2 linked regions of the Daphnia pulex genome follow. Each later gene encodes a partner of the first gene's protein in a complex. Links are inferred from orthologs where the notes say so. Each region holds a gene or a part of one and is shown in the gene's direction. Other genes may lie near its edges.

Region 1 (4,610 bases):
ACGACAACAGCTTCACGGTTCTCGTATGTCCAAAATCCATCCAAATCAATCAAGATATTGATCACAGTTTCACCGTATCCACTGAGCCAGAAAACGTTCAATGACAATCTTATTCTAAAAAAATTCTAAATGAACTTTGTGTGTTACCAGTTAATCAAATCATGTAAAGTGATTTTTGACGGATCGGCAGGACGCACCATATCGAAAATCTCATCATTGACGTCGTCAAAAGCAACGACTTCTTGTTTGTGCTGCTGCATCAACTCTTGAACCCCCTGCAAAGCATTTTTTTTTTTTTCAAGATAAGAAAGTCAAAAGGTCAAATGAGGAAATTAATACTTTGAAGTAAAAATGGAGGTCAAAAGTGTTGAGATGGTTTCGATGATTGACGTCCAACAAACGGAAAAAATACTGAAGTGCTTGTGGTTCCTTTTTATTGTCCATGGCCAATACGAAATCCAAGTACGTTTTATAATCCATTTCTTTCTCATAGGTCATGCACTCCTCGAATACTCGTTGAATGAAAACTCGCGTCAACGTGCCAGTTCCGAATCTGAAAATTAAATTTAAAAAAAATCTTAAATGTACGTACTGCAAATTGAAATATGGTAAATTACCGTCTGAGCTCTTCCTGACAAAGCATGCCGTTTCTGTTGGTATCTAAATTTAAGTATTGACCGTAGACTCTCAGAGCGGAGGGCGCAGAAAACCAGTTTGAATCCTGTGCATCTTTGGGCAGCTCTTCATCCCGTAGCTGATGAATTATAATATTTTTAGCGAGAAGAATGACAAAAGAATCAGGAATATACTAAATACCTCTAAAAGTTCGTCCAGAAAACCAGAAGCGAGAATATCCTGTATCCTGACTTTGCCTAGCTTTAATGGATCTAGGAAAAAGAGGAACTTGCGTACGGCGGTACAGACGTAAAACGAATGGAATGACTTTTCAAGCCCTTCTAACTGTGGCAATGTTGGGATAAGTTCAGTTATGTAGTTCTCTAAATCCTGGGAAAAACAAAAATAGATAAGTAAATTACATATTGCAAAAACAAAAAACATATTGCTGATGTTCACCATTTCAGTAAGCAGACCTTGTCCTGTGGCATCATATAATGAAAGACCAATTCTAGTTTGCTGTAACCAAACTTTCCTCATGATGTAATTGAACACTGCCATGGTTGATATTCTGCCATGAATATCATTCTGCAATAGCCTTGCAAATACATCTGGTGTAAAGAATGCTCTGTATAGGGGAATTCAAAAAATAACTTGGTGTTCCCAATCAAATATTTACATGTCTTACTTATATTTTGGACCAGCTATGTTGCCTACTTTGAGAAAATCAATATAATTGATCATCTGCTCAGAACCAGCAGGAGGGCTGTGATTTTTGTCAAGTAAAGTCCAGAGATTCTAAAGACAGGATGAAAATCTTATTTACCAGTAGCACAAACACTGGCAATGACATTAACAAACCTGCAGTTCATTGTTATCGAGGAGTTCTTTGCTCTTCTTCTGAAGGAATGCTGTTCTAGCTTCTTCTCTCAGTTTAAGGCTAATCATGTTTTCATGATTAGGAAGCTGTGTAACAAAAACATAAGAAATTTATAGGGAATCAATTGGAAGTTATGCTTACTTTGGTATAGAACTTTGGAACTGGCATGCTTTCTTCCGAGCATTGCTTGCTATATTTGAGACCTTCGGAATACAACTTTTGGAAGGTATCTTCATCTTCGGCGTTTAAAACCAAAATCTCGGATTTTTCATCCATCTCGTTGATGAAAATCAACGAATACTGAGACTTAGGCCGCTAATAAAAACGTTTCTTGTTCATTCGATTCAAACGTGTCGAAACGATAACAAACGGCTTTACTTTTAGCAGAAAGAATGTTTTTTTCGACCGCTAGATGCTATGCTTAGCCAAAATCACGCTTCGTGGCGCTGCCATCGGGGGCATTTCGATATATATTGCCGCGTCAGTCTTAGTTTTCATGTCGGCTTCCTGTTGAACGAAGCCCTCCCGGAATTGAAATCAAATAAAATTCAATTTCGTTAAAGAATGGCCGCCAATCAGGCACTCGTGGTATTTATTTACCTTTTACTTTATGATAATATTTCATGGGGAATAGTACCTGGAAACTGTTGTTGCATTGACGATTCCACTCCACGAGCTCGATCTCACTCCTCGTTGGTCTAATTAAGGACTTTTATATTTCTTTTTTTGTAGTCGAAACTGTATCGTGGCGTTATTGAAGATGTTATCAACGGGGTTCGAGAGGCGTTTCTTGACGAAGGAATCGATGAGGCTGTACTTCTCGAATTGAAGCAGAATTGGGAAAACAAATTGCAGTCCAGCAAAGCAATCGACCCTGTGACCGATCCTGCTGAAACTTCTCTCCAAAGCAAACTGCAACAAAGTATCCAATATCGATTATGAGACTTTATCATGTATGAAAAAAGGGTCTTCTTTGCCGTCAAAAGCAGGTCAGCAGGCTAGCTCTACAGCTCCTGCGAACAATTCTACACCTCAACAGGCAGCCACTACGGCAAAGCAACCAGGTAGTTGGGTATACTGTTACATTGAGTGCATTATTATTAATTGTTTTGTTTGTTTGTTTTTATTTTCTCTAAAGCAGCAGCAGCAGCCCAAACCCCAGTGACTACCCCTAATGCAGCTACAGGTGCAGCAACAACAGCAGCAGCTGCAGCCCCTGCTACGACAACAGTAAGGACGGTGCCAGTCCAAATCACTGTTCCTCCTCAGGCTGGAGTAGCAGGTCATACAGCAGCCAAGAGCATCACTGTTCACGTTCCAGCTCATGCTCTTCAAGGTTATTTCCCAATTGAATCTCGTTCGTACTAGCTCCAATCTAATTTCTTTACTATTTGTAATAATGTCACAGGTGGCGCAGCGGGAGCGCAGCTGCAAACGATCCTGAGTTCACCGGCTGTGACGGCGGCTCTCTCTCTTCCAGTTGAAATGGCCACGACTGTCTTGCAGCAGCACATTAATAACGCGTTGCAGGTACCATTGGTTGAAATTGAATCCACTCGAAAGTGTATATAATAATGTGTGTACAATGCATTATTACTTTTCTTTGTAGTCGACAGCTGCACGGAGCCAATCGCGAACTGACAATGGAGGAGTCACACAGTTGGATGGACCCGGAGACTCTTCGGACGACGACGACGATGTTGAAGATGATGACGATGACGACGTGGAAGAAGAGGACGATCATGACGACGAGGAGATTGACGCAGACAACGAAGAGAACGCAGACGAGGAGCCACTCAACTCTGAAGACGATGTGACTGATGATGATCCCTCAGTGTTATTTGAAACTGATAACGTCGTCGTGTGCCAGTACGACAAGGCAAGGATTTGAATTTTAGCATTCGAATTGGAATTGAAATGTTTTAAATGACTTTTTTTTCTATTTGTAGATTACGAGAAGTCGAAACAGGTGGAAGTTTCATCTCAAGGACGGCATCATGAACATTAACGGTCGCGATTACGTCTTTCAAAAGGCCAACGGTGATGCAGAGTGGTGAAAATATTCAAGGTTGAAATTGCGCTACTAGGGGAAAATCAAGATAATGTTTCATTTAATACAATCCGGAGGAATTTCGCTTTCAATTTAAGGATTTTTCGTGTGCCTGTGCGTGTGCATGTGCGGAATTTCTTTTTTCATGTCGGGTGTTGGATGAGCGGTGGAGAGGAAAAAATACCTGGGGACAAAGAAACAAAAGCCATTCGTGTTTGTCCTCCCTCGCTTCTTTTGTTTCGTTTCTCTTTTTTTGTTAACACACAAAACTTTCCGAATTCTTTTTTTGTCTCATCTTTTCCCTGTTCGCTGCAGAAGCTGTTGTCGCCCCCTTTTGATTCAGGAATATTTAGAAGAAGAAGAAAAATATATGTTCAAATTACCAAGAATTGCAATTAGTTTTCGAGAAGATTCTAATAACGTGACCCAAAACTAGTCCAAGACCCAGGGGACAATGTTACTAATTACGGTACCGAAAAATTCTTGTAATCGTATACAGTTGGTGGTGGACATTTTCAATGTTAGTCGGAAGAAATCTAGATTAGGTTGTATACATGGGAAGTCATTCAGGCGAGCGTACGGGGACTTGAAAGCAAATAACCAAGTGGTCAAAAGCTTACATCCGTTTGCAGTCATCACCGGGGAATTGCTCATCCAACTATTGGATTCGGTACACGTTAATGGAGTTTCTACACGATAGCAGCGCGGTAGGAGTTGTTGGCGTCCGCCAAAAAGTTTCCTAGAGCCGTTAAAAGGCAACCAGCACAAAACTAAACGAACTTTGCTGTTGCCAGGACCTTAGGATTCGACCTGCTGGACTCATTATCAAAACTAAAAAAAAAACGAGGGGAAAAGTTTCAACAAGGACGGACTGGGGCGTTCTTCCATCTGCTTATCATGAAAATAAATTCAAAAATTTCTTTTTGAAATGGTTGATGTCACAGGGGAGGACATGTTTCATGTGAATGATATGACATGAACTAGTGAAATGTTTACAGTATATTCAGGATGGCTTTTAATCGCGTGTCACAACATCCGTTCCTAATGAGCGCTCCCAGTCGTTGG
Region 2 (3,368 bases), on another chromosome or scaffold:
CAACCAAACGAATTCCCGTGGCAGGCCTTCCTCCAGGTGGAAATGCAAAGTGGCAACGCTTACGCCTACGGGGGGACTTTGATCGCCGATCGTTGGATCCTTACAGCCGCTCGCTGTCTTGTAGTGCCAGGGTAAAAATTCCATCATTATCAACGAGGTTCAAGTGAAAATTTCATTCATCTTTTATGAATTAGACAAAAGGTGAGATAGGCCTACATCGACGTCTATCTGGGGGTTCACGATCACACGGCAGAGTCGGAAGGCAACCGGAAATTGTATTCCAATAGCGAAACCTTCATCCATCGTGCCTGGAATCCTGCCACCGATGCAGGAGACATTGCTCTCATCAAACTCAAAAGCGCCGTCAAATATTCACGTATCATTAATTCGTGTTCTTTAATTTAAAATTATAATTAAATTTAAGATTTTGTACAGAGTACATCCGCCCAGTGTGTCTGTCAATTTCCGGTATCGACGAACCTGATTACGTCAACGAAATGGTTACCGTCACGAGATGGGGTACAACTTACGACGGTATTCCGTTCAACATACGACGACGAGAGAATCCAAAATAAAAGTTAAATGTTTCAAAAATTCAGGTAGTCCACGTATAAGCCCAGTGTTACATAAGATGACGGTCCGGCTCATCTCCAATAACGACTGCAGGACAACTTATGGCGACAACATCCAAGGAGGACATTATGTGCACCAGTGATGGCGCCAACAACATGGGAACTTGCATAGTAAGTGAACGCATAATCATCCTAGTGAATTTACTTTTAAAATGTATGCAAATATGGCAGGGCGATAGTGGCGGATCGATGAATTACAAACAGATGGACGGCAGGTGGAAACAGATCGGGATCATATCGTTCGGTTCGACTGAGGGATGCCAAAAGAAAAGGGTCATCCAAACGGTTACAACAGACTGAGCTCTTATTCTTCATTTCAACGTAGATCCGGGATATTATTGAATCAACTTCCGGCACTCATTGAACATCCGCCTTTTTATCGACACCCCTTATGCTCGTTTCAATCGTATTCGTGATTAGCCTTTCGACGGCGTGGTTCTAACGACTCATTTGAATGCCCTCCCAGGGCTCCCACCTACTAATGTACATTACTATATCGTTTATTCATTTAGTTTGTAATAACAAGTCTCAAAACAAGGTGAATCATTAAACGCAACATTTTCTAATCGAATCCAGAATTTGAAAATCTCAGTCATTTTAACAGTCCGGCAGTTGTAATAATTAGATACCAGCGTAAGCATTTACGTGCGAGCATGTACGACGGCGACATAATCAGCACGCAAATTGCTGTAAAACATTACATCTTTTACAAGTTGGAAAAAAACATTTAACTTCACCGGAAATCCCAAGTAGGATCTCTTGCCCTCGTCCTCCTAACGGCCACCGGTTTACTTTCGCCTCTGATGAGATCGACCCTCTGCAACCGTTCGACAACTTAATATCCCAGCTATTTAATACACATTTGGACTGTCCTACACTGTCGACGAAGCAACGATGTGCTGACATTTTCCATTTTAAATTACTGTTTTCTTATACCCTGTTACAAATGGATGCATTTTAGTATTTTACCATGAATCGTCCATTCGAGATCCAACCATAAAGTATCCACAGTCCACACGTATAGTCGTATACTTTATGAATCGACATTTGAATCAAGAAAGGGACGCAAGGCCACCTGGTGAACGAACGCCGAAGTTGACTCGGCCGACAACTCGACAAAGCGGTGGCGGTTGACTAGGGCACCATCGTCTGCACGCTGTAGCAAATGCAAATCTCTTAAATTTGACTGGAAATCTCGTGGTCTTGTTAACTTACTCAGTTTTCACTTTTCACTGTGATTATCTTACCCTTTAAACAATAATGGCAGACGATGACTTTGAGAACGACGAGTAAGTTAATAGTTAGTTGGAGTTTTTCTTCTTTTCTTAATCACATGTACAACATGTTGAATTTCTGTTATTTAGTGGCGACGATTTTGAAGATGCTGAAGACGATGATAACATGGATGAAATGGAACAGCCAGACGATGATGCACAAATTGATCTACTTCAGCAAGGTGAAGGTGGAGCTGGCCAACTGCAAACCAAGCGCATTACAACACCTTACATGACAAAGTATGTAACACTTGAAAGATGCATAGCTCATGAAAGACTATAAACAAGTCTTACATTTTTAGGTATGAAAGGGCACGGGTGTTAGGGACCAGAGCATTACAAATAGCAATGTGTGCACCAGTCATGGTTGAATTGGAAGGCGAAACAGATCCCCTGCAAATTGCAATGAAAGAATTGAAGCAGAAGAAAATTCCTATAATCATTCGCCGCTATCTTCCTGATGGAAGTTATGAAGATTGGGGAATAGACGAACTTGTAATCAATGACTGAGTCCAACATACAATAATACACTAAGATGTCTTTTTAATTGTACTTTGTAATTCTTTCACCATTTGTCTCCCATTGATGAGAAGTCCCTTGATTGTTTCCTTCAAAATAAAATTCTGTGAAATAAATTCCAAATGAAAACAAACTAATTAATACTTCATTAGTGTGAGATCGGTGTGTTTCAAAGTCACTCCTAGCCCACTTGATGATTTCGTCTTTTTGATGCCTATCTACTTTTCTAGCTGTGCGTAGAACTTGATGAACAAAACACTTGTTTAATAGTTATCAGAACTATGTACCCTAATATTAAGTAATCAATTACCTTCTCTGTATAAATTCAAAACCTCTTGCCTAAGCATGAACTGAGAGAGAATAATTTTTTATCAGAAGCTCTGCAATGTGATATGTTAATGCTATAAATATGGAATTACCTGCTTAAGAGTGAGCACTTTTTTAGGAATTCTTGAAATGGTAGACATAGTTATTTGTGGGTAAATTCAGATTACTAAAACCAGTTGAAAGTGTTTTGATTACTGAAGTGATTTATTCTAGGAGTCTATTATCAATATCATCTCACGATCTATTGACAATATTCATTAATGGTTAATTCTACGATACCCTTCAGAAAAATAACTATTTTTATTTCCATCTCAAACAAATGAGCGACGAATTCCGCCCGCCATCTCTTAAGGAAAATTACCATTACAATATTTAGAGAAATAAAGCTTGAACGAAAATATTGGATACGCAAATTTATTGTCTGTGGACAACGTATAAAACAGTCAGAAAAATTATCGAGAAAATTGCCGTTTGTCGCTTGGTTTCTGTCCAACTTGACGATATGTGCTTGCTTTTGTACGGTGCTTAGTTCCTCCATGGGTCTCCCCGAAGTTCCCTTGGCGTTTGCGAGGGCGGTCAGCTTTAGTACTACGCATGTCTACAAAGTAAAATGTAT

Evidence for each region. Proteins that work in one complex are often made in the same cells at the same time.
Region 2: transcription initiation factor IIA subunit 1-like (region 1) and DNA-directed RNA polymerases I, II, and III subunit RPABC2-like share a complex: the UniProt entries of both Homo sapiens proteins name them as parts of the TBP-based Pol II pre-initiation complex. The link is inferred for Daphnia pulex from reciprocal best matches to the Homo sapiens genes GTF2A1 and POLR2F.

Annotation. Positions count from the first base shown.
Region 1 is NC_060018.1:12,589,754-12,594,363, forward strand, and holds transcription initiation factor IIA subunit 1-like, read left to right. Parts: upstream 1-1,936; 5' UTR 1,937-2,059; coding exon 2,060-2,083; intron 2,084-2,227; coding exon 2,228-2,417; intron 2,418-2,460; coding exon 2,461-2,559; intron 2,560-2,630; coding exon 2,631-2,831; intron 2,832-2,903; coding exon 2,904-3,025; intron 3,026-3,104; coding exon 3,105-3,374; intron 3,375-3,444; coding exon 3,445-3,552; 3' UTR 3,553-3,934; downstream 3,935-4,610. Other genes in the region: serine/threonine-protein phosphatase 2A regulatory subunit B'' subunit gamma-like, read right to left, coding at 1-81, 148-275, 340-553, 618-754, 817-1,005, 1,075-1,243, 1,304-1,413, 1,477-1,581 and 1 more. UniProt on the Homo sapiens protein: TFIIA is a component of the transcription machinery of RNA polymerase II and plays an important role in transcriptional activation. TFIIA in a complex with TBP mediates transcriptional activity.
Region 2 is NC_060023.1:6,840,868-6,844,235, forward strand, and holds DNA-directed RNA polymerases I, II, and III subunit RPABC2-like, read left to right. Parts: upstream 1-1,734; 5' UTR 1,735-1,892; coding exon 1,893-1,921; intron 1,922-1,996; coding exon 1,997-2,146; intron 2,147-2,208; coding exon 2,209-2,416; 3' UTR 2,417-2,436; coding exon of another isoform or gene 2,437-2,514; 3' UTR 2,515-2,558; downstream 2,559-3,368. Other genes in the region: chymotrypsin BII-like, read left to right, coding at 1-120, 211-376, 436-534, 600-715; LYR motif-containing protein 2-like, read right to left, coding at 2,437-2,514, 2,570-2,667, 2,736-2,775, 2,845-2,892; ATP-dependent RNA helicase DDX18-like, read right to left, coding at 3,205-3,350. UniProt on the Homo sapiens protein: DNA-dependent RNA polymerase catalyzes the transcription of DNA into RNA using the four ribonucleoside triphosphates as substrates.